2 linked regions of the Drosophila melanogaster genome follow. The protein of the gene in region 2 interacts with the protein of the main gene of each other region in a pairwise test. Each region holds a gene or a part of one and is shown on either strand. Other genes may lie near its edges.

Region 1 (3,592 bases), on a different chromosome or scaffold from region 2:
CACAGTCATTGATCTGGCCAATCAGCCAAATGTGCAGGGCAAAATCAATGGATGGAAAATTTATCATTTACGCTCGCAAATGGAGGACTTGGTAAGCAATGGGCACGAAAGTATTGGTAGGCTACTTTGACTGAACTGATTTCTTACAGAATGAATCGGAAGTCTTTAGTCTGGGCAGGCTGGAGACCATGCTGCAGGATCTCGAAAAGGACAAGGAGAAGCACAGCGAAATTGAGCGAGTCACTGAACTGCTAAAGGTGCGCTCTTATACTTATATCCATTATGCTTGAATCTCAACATAAAACCAATTTACTTTGCAGGGAAACATTCAACGCAGCAAGATTATTACCGATGGCATCAACGAGGCACAGAATCAGTTAATGAAGATCTTCGAGCATAAGCCACACGTTTCTAATATAATCACCCGCTGCGCTTCGAAAAGGAATTTCAAGAAGCGCGAAAAGATCTAAAAGTAATTGACGAACGGAGATGGCCAGCCAAGTGTGTATTAATAAGTTGTACATTACCTAATTTAAGCAGAAATTATAGAATCCAAGATAATTACCTTAAACGCGATCGATTTGTAAGTCGTACAGCTACAAAGAAAACCAGCAATATTTTTTCAATTTATTAAGCTAGAAACACAAATACAAAAACCCTCGAGTTGTATTAAGTAGAAAATTGTTTATTATTTGAATATTTCTGTGGTAATCGGCTTGCGTTTGGAGAAATCCCGTAAACATTGTCGATGAATTAGTTGTTTGAAAGCATGGGTGGCGGTGGATGAACGCCATTGAACATGGGATGCATAGCAGGACGTGGCGGTCCCGGCATGGGGAATCCGCCTGGGGGGCCTAGTGCCCTATGTAGATTCGGCGGCGGTGGCGGCAGGATCTTAGGTTCGAACTTGAAGGCGAACTGAAGGAAGAACTGCTTGGTGTCACGGTTCCAGTGCGTCCAGAACTTGCCCTCACTCTTCTCCACTTCGCGGGACGGCACCTTGAACCCTATGGTCTCGTACGGCTCGGCGGCAAAGAGAAGGTACTGCCACTTGCGGTCTGGCGGCTCGATCTTTTGCTCGTAGGCGGACATGAAGCGGTGACGCGGAACAATGGACTCCGTGATTTCCGGGTAGTCCACCTGAAAGAGCAACGACTGCTGGCCGTTGCTGAGTTCACGCTGCTTGGTCACCCGGTAGCCGGGTCGTCCAATCTTGACGAACTTCTTCGGTTCCACGCGGGGCTTCTCGGGCGCCAGCAGCGAAGAGGGTGCCTCCTTTGCCTCCTTGGCGGCTCTTCTTGCCAGATTATCCTGATGCTTCTTGCCCTGCGTGTGGGCCAAATAGCTGCCCTCGTTGTTGTGCAGCGTCAGGCAGAGTTTGCACTCGTAGGAGCCCAGATGGTTCTTCATGAAGTACGGATCCTTGTTCAGATCGATTGTCTCCAGGGCCAGTTGACGCAGTCGCTCCTTGCGGTCGCGGTTCGTCTCCGACCAGGAGGCTACGCCTCCGCTGCCGGTCTTGCCGCCGGCGCGGTTTTGGAAGTCCATTTTGTAAACTTTATTTTAGTTTTCAACCGCACGAAGGAAAAACGTTTTGCGTTGGTAAAATTTCATGAAAATTTGTTGTACAGAACAGGGTTGTCAAGAAACGCCAATTCGGTTAGGGGTGGTAGTTTATCAGAGTCAATCGATAGTTCGTGTGCAGGATTAAAGTATTAAATAAATAATAGAATGTTTCATAAATCCATTAAAATTCTTAATGATAGTCAAATTTTTGCAAACTGTAATATACATAAAATAACTTATATATTCCTTTTGCGATGTTTTTTTAAAGAATTACATATAATATTTTGGTATATTTTCGTTCCGAAGCTTTGAGAATATTTTACTTTTTCAAAGCGGTCACACTATTAATTCGAGCTGCACATGCTTGATCTTTTTTAGAATTTAAAAAGTGAAAAATGTCTAGACAGCGATCTAAACTAAAGTAAACTAGTGTTGGTGACAAGTACTAGGCCTCGAAAAGCGTGTTTTATTTAAATGTCACTGCGTGGATTACGTCGGACTTGAGAAAAATCGAAGCAACGAGTGTTTAAGAATTTCGATTTCTGTCGTCATTTTCGTGGAATAAACAGTGCCAGTGTCTTATGCGATTTTTAAAGTAACCGCGAAATGGACAACTCCAGCAAACAGGTCATCATGGGTCCACCGGCGCCAATGACCACCACTTCTAATCAACCGAAGCCCGGTAATCCCACCAGCGCCCCTCCTCCACACGCCACCAAAACTGCTGCAGCTCCGCCCAAGCGAATAATTAAGAAGATTCAGCTGGATTTCAACAAGCTCAAGGAGGCTGGACTCGATAGGCAGCTGGCCGAGGTGCTTAGGAAGCAGAAGCTGGATGCCAAGAGGGTGGACGCCCCATCGTCCACCAGTCTTTCCACCTCTGCCGCAGCGCAGTCGACGCCAACTGCGCCAGAGAGCAAATTGCAGTCGCCACAACAACAATTGCGTCAGCCTGGTAATGCATACTTGTATATATATATATTTGCTTTAAGCTGTGCATCGCCCAAAAAACCGTTACAAACCCAGGGGTTTTGTACCAAGTGATACGAAAATCGTCTAAATGCTTCTACGAGTTTTGGGCACAGTACCGAAAACCAAAACGATGGTGCAACTGATTGAGACGCCGACAGATTGTCAAAGAGTTAGTTTTTGTATTAATTGTTCTGAGTTCGTCTCGCAGTGAGTGCGGCGCCTTCACTTTCTTTTCGTGTATCTCGATATATTTTATTTTTTACGTATTTCGAATGGCAACCTAAAATAATTTTTTTTAGTTTAAAAAAGTCTATTTTTGTTAAAAATTCAGGTCTATAGGTTAGAAATATTAGGATGGCTAACCATCTGTATCTGTATCTGAACATCTACAATATGTTCACTTGTCAAACAGGACGTTATTATTTCCAAAACATACTGCCAATAAAATTTATATTGAATAACATAATTTGGTATTTAATTATTTAAAACGATCGATATTTTAATAAGCCAAGAGAATCACATGTTTTACAAGGATATTTTATGTATATTTTAATATTCTTTTAATAAATAAATTTAAAAAACCAAAAAAAAATTAATTCGGGACATTTAGATTAGTTGGTACTTTTCTTTGAAATGAGATGAAATATACTGCTAATACTAGAACACTTCAATATTTTTGTCGTTGTTGTTAAATGTAACACAAAAAGTTTTTAACGAAAACTTTTTTTTAAATTTTAACAATTGAATAATGAGTTTAATCAATAATCATTTAATTTTTGTTGTTGTGTGATAGAGTACTAACTACGTAAAGCCATAAATTATGAAAATTTAATTGGTCAAAAGCAAATAAAATTTTACACTTAATTGTAAAATAGGGATAATGAGCTTAATTCATAAATATGATACCCTTGAAAGGGTAAATATTTTTTTTGACTACTCGTCTGGCAAACTAGATTCAAGACCCACTCGTGCCACAACAATTCGTACTCTTTCGGTGGTTCAATCGTCAAGTGCGCGCTCAAAATGAGGTTAGGGACGAAGCGTCGATGCGAGG
Region 2 (6,718 bases):
TTAGGCAAAGTGCGAAATTCTTGTTAAAAGTATATGCTAATGATGATACTGTATCTATGTTACTTTGAAATGAGATAACCTTCTTGTAAAATACTATTACCTATGTATTACAACCTTTGATTTACAACAATTATATATATATTTTTTTTAAACAATTTTCAAATGATATACGCATATACATACATATATTTATGTTGATCGTTGTAAAGTAATCAAGAGCAAAAATGTAAAGCACACGCTCGCGCGGCAGAAGGAAAAATTCAATAATTTGTAATCAAATTACAGCCGAAATCTTCAAACTGAGATGTTACAAAATATAAGGAACAGCAGATACAGCAGAAAACAGCTCCCAGAGAACTACGTCTCCCCCAGACCTACAATGCCCCATAATCTACACCCGGTACTATAACTAACCAGCCCCATGTAGAGAGCCGTAGCCTAGCTATGTCCATTGTCCTTGCTCCACGCACTCGACTGTTTCGATCTATCATCACACATTATCCTCGTCTCAGTGCTAGAGTTCCACATCCTTGAGTAGCAGACGCAGTTGAGTGCCGGGGATCAAGGCTAGTGGATCGCCCAAAATATACAATAATGCATCATATTATTACGTTCACTGTTATTTTTGTTTATATATATGCATAATATATATGGATATGCTGCACCGGCGACTATTAAACTGTAAGGTGTAGCGCTAAATTACAATTTTATTGTTAAAGAATTCAAACGAAAAAAAAACAAGCGGAAGCAAAACCATTGGCAAGCGAAATGGCCCATTAAACGGATGAAAGAAACGAAGACTTGTTTTATGTCAAATGCATTAACAACAATTGCCTTTTATTGTTTCCGATAACAGGTTATCCGTTGGCTAGAGAATGGAGTCCAGGCCCCGGCGACGAGAGCGCTGCGACAGGATTGGACGGGGCTTGTAGAGATCATCGTTGGTGTACCGCTGCTGCTGGCAGAGCTTCTTGCTGAGTCGCCTGGCGGACAGGGCGTCTGCTGATAAAAACAAGCACTTTAGTCACACGCATTCACGGGAATCGCTCGAAGCATCAACAATCGGCGGGCAAAGGACAGAGAATCGCGCGGGAACCGCTTACCCAGCTCCATTGCGGTTTGGTTAGGACTACTAGTGGTGGCTTCATACAGCTACATATTATGTATATTAGTTAACAATGCGGATGCGTGTGGGGGAGAAAATAGAGGCGGTAAAGAAGAATATTGAGGATGAGCATGAGAACAGAGATGTATGTATGTAGATCACATTCGCAGGGTGGATCGATTTGTGTTAATTATAGACTTTATTATCAATTTTTACTTGATTTTCACTAAACGTTAAGACATACGACAATTCAATTGCATCGATCCACCCTTTGTGAGAGTTAGCAAAAGAGAGATTCGAGGAACAAATGCTACACCAAATGAAACTTAGCAATGATACAGTACGCACCATGCTCCTGCTTCTCCAGTGCCTCGTTCTCCTTCGAGTTTATGCTGGCGTCAGATGGTGTTGGCGATGACTTGGGCTCGTCCTGTCGCAGTCTCTTTGCCGGACTGCCGGCGGTGCTGCTGCTGCTCGGACTTCTAGGCTGCGGCGGTGTCGTTTCCCGCTCCACTCGATGCTGCTCCTGCATGCTGCTCCGTCTTCGCTTGGAGAGGCTGCGTCGCAAGGCACGTATATCCACTGCCTCCTCCTGTGTTCCATCCTCACTTAACCTGTTAAGCAAATTCTTTCGATCCTCTATCAGTTGATTGATGAGCTGCAGACGCGTCCTAAACTCGTCTGTGTTTTCTTCGAAGTGGGTCACAAAGTCGGCACTAAATTCGTCGCTTTGCTCATTCGAGATTGGGACTGGTGTGGCGGGTTTGTCAGCATCTTGCGGTGGATCCTCCACATCGCCGACTTGAGCAGGTTCGTCGACGCACTCTTCGGGAGGATTTTCCGGTTTGCTCTCCTCTTCTGACTTATTCTCTTCGACATTGGTCTCTACCTTTTCGTCTTCCAATGTATCCATGCTTTCCTTGGCTGGCAAATCGGGAACGGAGTCAGCTAAAGTTTGAGGTTCTACAGTTGGCACTTCATTCTGCGAAGCACACTCGTCTTGCCTTGCCTCCAATTCTGTTTTTTCCGGCTGATTATCCGCCTCTTTTCCGTCTATATCTTCGGGTTCATGCTTACTGCTCTCCGCTCTGTCATGCGATTGGGATCCAGCGGTCAGTTCAACAAAACTGCTCGTCGATTGCTGCAGGATGTCGCTCACGATGACAACACCGCTGACATTGTCGCAAGCACCATTGGTGCTGCCGTTGGAGTTTCCATTCGTGCCGTTAGCATTCTCCACGGGCGCATCTGATTTCATTGTAGCTGCTGAATCCTCCGGCTGGGAGTTCTTGGCCGGACCACCAGAACTTGGAGGCTTCCCCTCGTCGTTTGAGTCGGAACCCCGACGCTGCTTATACTTTTCTTTGCTCTCGCTATGATCATCGTGGATAGCCTTGTTCTCTGCACTGCCAGAAGTGTTTGATTTGTTACGATCACGATCGCGGCCTCGGTCGTGATCTTTTCTCCTTGACGACGACGAGGAACTGCTACTGCTGTGGTGGCTGCGACTTTGGCTGTCCTTTTCCCTTTCCTTATCCTTCTCCTTGCCTTTATCTCGTTCCGATCGCGAGGATGATGAACTGGACTTGTGTTTTTTGTGTGAGGAAGATTCGTGGCGTGATGAAGAAGTGGTTCCCGAGCGCTTGGATGACGACGACTCTCGATTACTCCGGCTAGATGAACTTGAGGAGCTCTTATCGTTCTTGGAGCTACTACTCTTATGCTTCGAGCTGGAGGAGTTCGATGAGGAGTGCTTCGAGCTGGAACTCGAGGAATGCTTGCTGTGCGATTTGTCGCGACTACGATCGCGGTCCCGATCTGTGCTCCTTCGCCGGTGTTTGTCATCTGAGTGCCTGTGGTGTCGCCGATCCTTTTCCTTTTCCTTATCCCTAGACTTCGAATGGCTTTTTGATTGCGAGGACGTGGATGTTGGCGACTCCGTGGACTCAGACGCTGTGCTAACAGCGTCTTTTGGTGCATCCAATCCAAGCTCTAGGGGTTTATCTTGCTTGTCTTCAGTTGTTGCTGGTTGCTCATCTTCTTTGACATCCGTGTTTACATTGTGTGGTTTATCCCGAGTTTCCGACTCCTTGGGTGTCACGGCCAGCTCTGTGATGAATCCATTACTACCTTTCGCCCTTCGGGGCGTTATAGCTGCCTCAGCTTTTGGTGGGGCTGGCGGAGGAGGAAGCTCGACTTTCGGTGGTGCTGGAGGAGGAGGTGGTTCAAGTTCTGTGGGTGCCGGTGGAGGAGGTGGTTCAACTTCAGCTGGTGCCGGTGGAGGAGGTGGTTCAACTTTAGTTGGTGCTGGTGGTGGTGGTGGCGGCGGTTCAACTGTAGGTGGTGCTGGTGGTGGTGGTGGCGGTGGCTCAACTGTAGGTGGTGCTGGGGGTGGCGGTGGCTTAATTGTTGGTGGTGCTGGTGGTGGCGGTGGCACAAGTGTTGGTGGTGCTGGTGGTGGCGGTGGCTCAATTGTATGTGGTGGAGGTGGATCAAAACGAGGTGACGCTGGTGGTTGGGGCCCTGGCGGCGACTCAACTCCTGGTGGTGCCGGCGGAGGAGGCTCTACTTTTGGCGAGGCTGGCCGCGGAGGAGGAGGCGGATTAACTTTCGGCGGTGCTGGCACTTGTACAGGCTCCGGTGCTATAGACTCAATACTGGCATTGTTGGCGTCGTCTATGTTTGCCTTCACCTCCGACATGATCTCATCCTCGATGGAAAGAATTTGGAGGCCTGTGCTAGTCGTCTCCGACACCGAGTTCTTTCGCTCAGTACCTGCACGAAAAAGAAATCGTAGAAGTTAAATAACCCATCGTGGCGCCCGGCAAACCCACCTTCGAAGGTAATGGCATCCTGTTTGATGTCGAAGTGAAGCTGTCGACCTTCGCTTCGGCCTGTTCCCGCACTAGCATCCCAAGAGTTTTCGCTGAACTTTGGCATTTGCGCTTCCTCGCAAATGTTCTCTGGCTCCCCACTGTTGTGAGCTGCTGTGTGCTGGTGGCTATCAACCATGGACTCCGTGGACGACGCCATGGTCAGGCGGCTGTCACTGGAAACCTGCGAAAGTTGCGACGCCTGGGAGACGCCGTTCACCGAATCCGAGTTATTCAACGAAACGTTGTTCAGCTCCTCCTTGATGGCAAGTGTTTTCCGCTCGCTCACTAGCTCGTAGGATGGCGAAGTGTCCTCGTCGTCTACACCGGGCGGAAGTTCGTCATCCCTCGACTCCGACTTGACGGTAGCCCGATCGGAGTCTGGACTTATCTGCTCCAGGTCCGTGGGCAGCAGACCAACCGTGGTCTCCACATTGAGCAGGCTGCTGCCGTTCAAGTGGGCACCAAATGGCGGCAAAGGCGGAGCTGACAGCATAGTGGGTCGCGCAGGTGGTGTGATGCCCAGGTACTTGTAGACAATGCTCTCGATCTTTGGCTCGAATATGGTAGCCACCTTGGGATTGACCACCTGGTCCACGATTTGGTCCACTCCCTTGTCCAGGACATCGGAGCTGAAACAGTCGATGTGATTACCCCAGGTTACCCAAGCCCCGCCAGAAGCATACTCACTCCATAAGGTGCTTGCGCAGCCTCTCTCGCAGCTGGACCTTGTTGGTCTCGGGCGTCCATTGCTGCTTGGCCAGAAAATCGTTGACCGCCGTCTCCACCTGGGTGCGCACATTCTGGTAGGCGGGCTTCGTGTCCACGTCCGCCAGGCAGCAGTTGAATCGGAATTCGTCGAAGACGCCCTGCGACTTCACCTCGGCAATCAGTGTCTTGATAAAGTCGTCCATGCTCCTTGGCCCTTGTTATTCGTGTGCTTTTGCTTGCCGCAACACCCGTGAGTGCCGAGGAAATCCAGGATAAACGTCGAGTTTGTCTTTACATGCGTTTACATGTATGTACATATGTTTACGCTAGGGATGGCCGCCCCACGTGAGTTTCGCCCTGATTGGATCCGGGCGTCGTGCGTGAGCGGTAGCTATGCCAACTTCTCAGTTTTACTAGCCAAATTTGACGAATTGCAGATACAGATACATTTTTACTTTTGAGTTATGAATGAAAGAATAATAAAGTATAGAAATATTTGTGCCACCGAGTTTTTACCTTTAAAGCCAAGTTGCATTTAATCAGCTATACATTAAGAACTTAAATGTTCATATTAATGTAAAATTCAGGTATTCACGTTGTTTTCGGTAAGGTGAAAGAATTGAGTTAAAGTTAAAATATTTAGTTTTGGAAAACAACAATACATGGCAGTATCTGTTAACTCCGAATAACTATTATAAAAACAATCTGTAACGAAGTCCCCTGGCCAGTGTAGTACCTCAGTCGTGGCTAAGGAACCTTTTCAAAAAATTTATATAGAAGGTTTAGAAACCTGTAGTTAGAAATTTGTATTGGATGACGTGCCTGAGAGCGAATAAAAGAACACCCCGCGGCGCTTATGATTTAGTTCAAAAATTATTATAAAAATTATTATTAATTATATAACTATACTATAAGTAAAAGAAAACACTTCGCCTCACTGTGCATTACGGTGCGAATCTTGGCTAAGTATAATCGATAGGAATGTGTGACGCCTATCTTTCAGCGATCGTATCGATGGATCGATAGCTACCGCGATGCCCACGGTTGCAGTCGAAGTTTTGGCGCAAGCGAAGCCTCTGTGTTCTTAGAAATTGTCGAATTAACGGTAGTGTTTAATTGACGAGAGCGCGATTAAACTGGACCGCAGAATGAAGCTGAGCACGGACGCGCACTCCGAGATCGAGGGCGACGCTGCCCACGGCAATGTGCTGTGCAACTCCGCGTCCGATTCCCTGACCGCCACCGACGAAGTGGCTGCGGGCAACGACGAGTCGGTGGCCACCGAAGGCGATGATGTCGAAATTCCGAGGGACACCAACAACAGCACTCCGGTTCGACTGCTGGACAAGCCCGGCCAAAACCCGGTGCAGAACGGCGCACAGCCCGCGGCGGAGGAGTCGGAGCTGGAGAGTCAGCGGCAGACGCCAGTCCAAAAACAGCAACAACAGCGTGTGTCCATGGTGAACAGTAAGTGTAACAATGGCGCAATATACCCCGCCGTATGCCGTCCATATGCTAATATATCTGCTTTTGTGTGTGCGCCTGTGTGTGCTGCTTTAGGGAAACGAGATCTTATCAACTTGCAGTCGGCGCTGAGCCCCAAATATATTGGCTATGCCAATGCCAACTCACCCACGCCGCTTTCCGATTCCGATGACACAATACGCACGACGAGGCGACGCGTTAACCAAGCGGCGGCTTTAAATAACAGCAGTGCTGGCGAGACCCTGGCCCATGATAATGCGTCACCAAGGACCCCCGGGGGAGGAGGAGGAGGTGGTGGAGATGATAGCGCTAATCAGCTGCTCAGCAAGACCTACATGAGCCCCATCGAGAAGCTGCTAATCAAAAACGGCGCTAGTTCGCCCAACAGCACCGGTTTCGAGGCGGGCTCCGAGGACCTGGGCATACGGCCAATCGTTCGCAAGCACGTAAAGCGCAAAATGAAAAGAGTGCCGAAGGCGAAAGTAACCCTCGAACTGGACGAAAAAAACCAGCAAGAGGTTGACGAAAAGTCAGTAAAAACGGA

Evidence for each region.
Region 1: the proteins of BOD1 (region 2) and Sf3a2 interact in a two-hybrid assay, tested with the Drosophila melanogaster proteins (one large-scale study listed by BioGRID).

The regions. Positions count from the first base shown.
Region 1 is NT_037436.4:12,812,360-12,815,951, forward strand, and holds Sf3a2 (splicing factor 3a subunit 2), read right to left. Parts: upstream 1,661-3,592; 5' UTR 1,549-1,660; coding exon 754-1,548; 3' UTR 669-753; downstream 1-668. Other genes in the region: Sap130 (Sin3A-associated protein 130), read left to right, coding at 1-91, 150-257, 321-470; CG42588 (uncharacterized protein), read left to right, coding at 2,173-2,521.
Region 2 is NT_033777.3:27,936,869-27,943,586, reverse strand, and holds BOD1 (biorientation defective 1), read right to left. Parts: upstream 5,026-6,718; 5' UTR 4,893-5,025; coding exon 4,669-4,892; intron 4,611-4,668; coding exon 3,940-4,610; intron 3,881-3,939; coding exon 1,454-3,880; intron 1,153-1,453; coding exon of another isoform or gene 1,145-1,152; exon of another isoform or gene 1,003-1,144; coding exon 869-1,002; 3' UTR 809-868; downstream 1-808. Other genes in the region: NSD (nuclear receptor binding SET domain protein), read left to right, coding at 5,838-6,156, 6,250-6,718.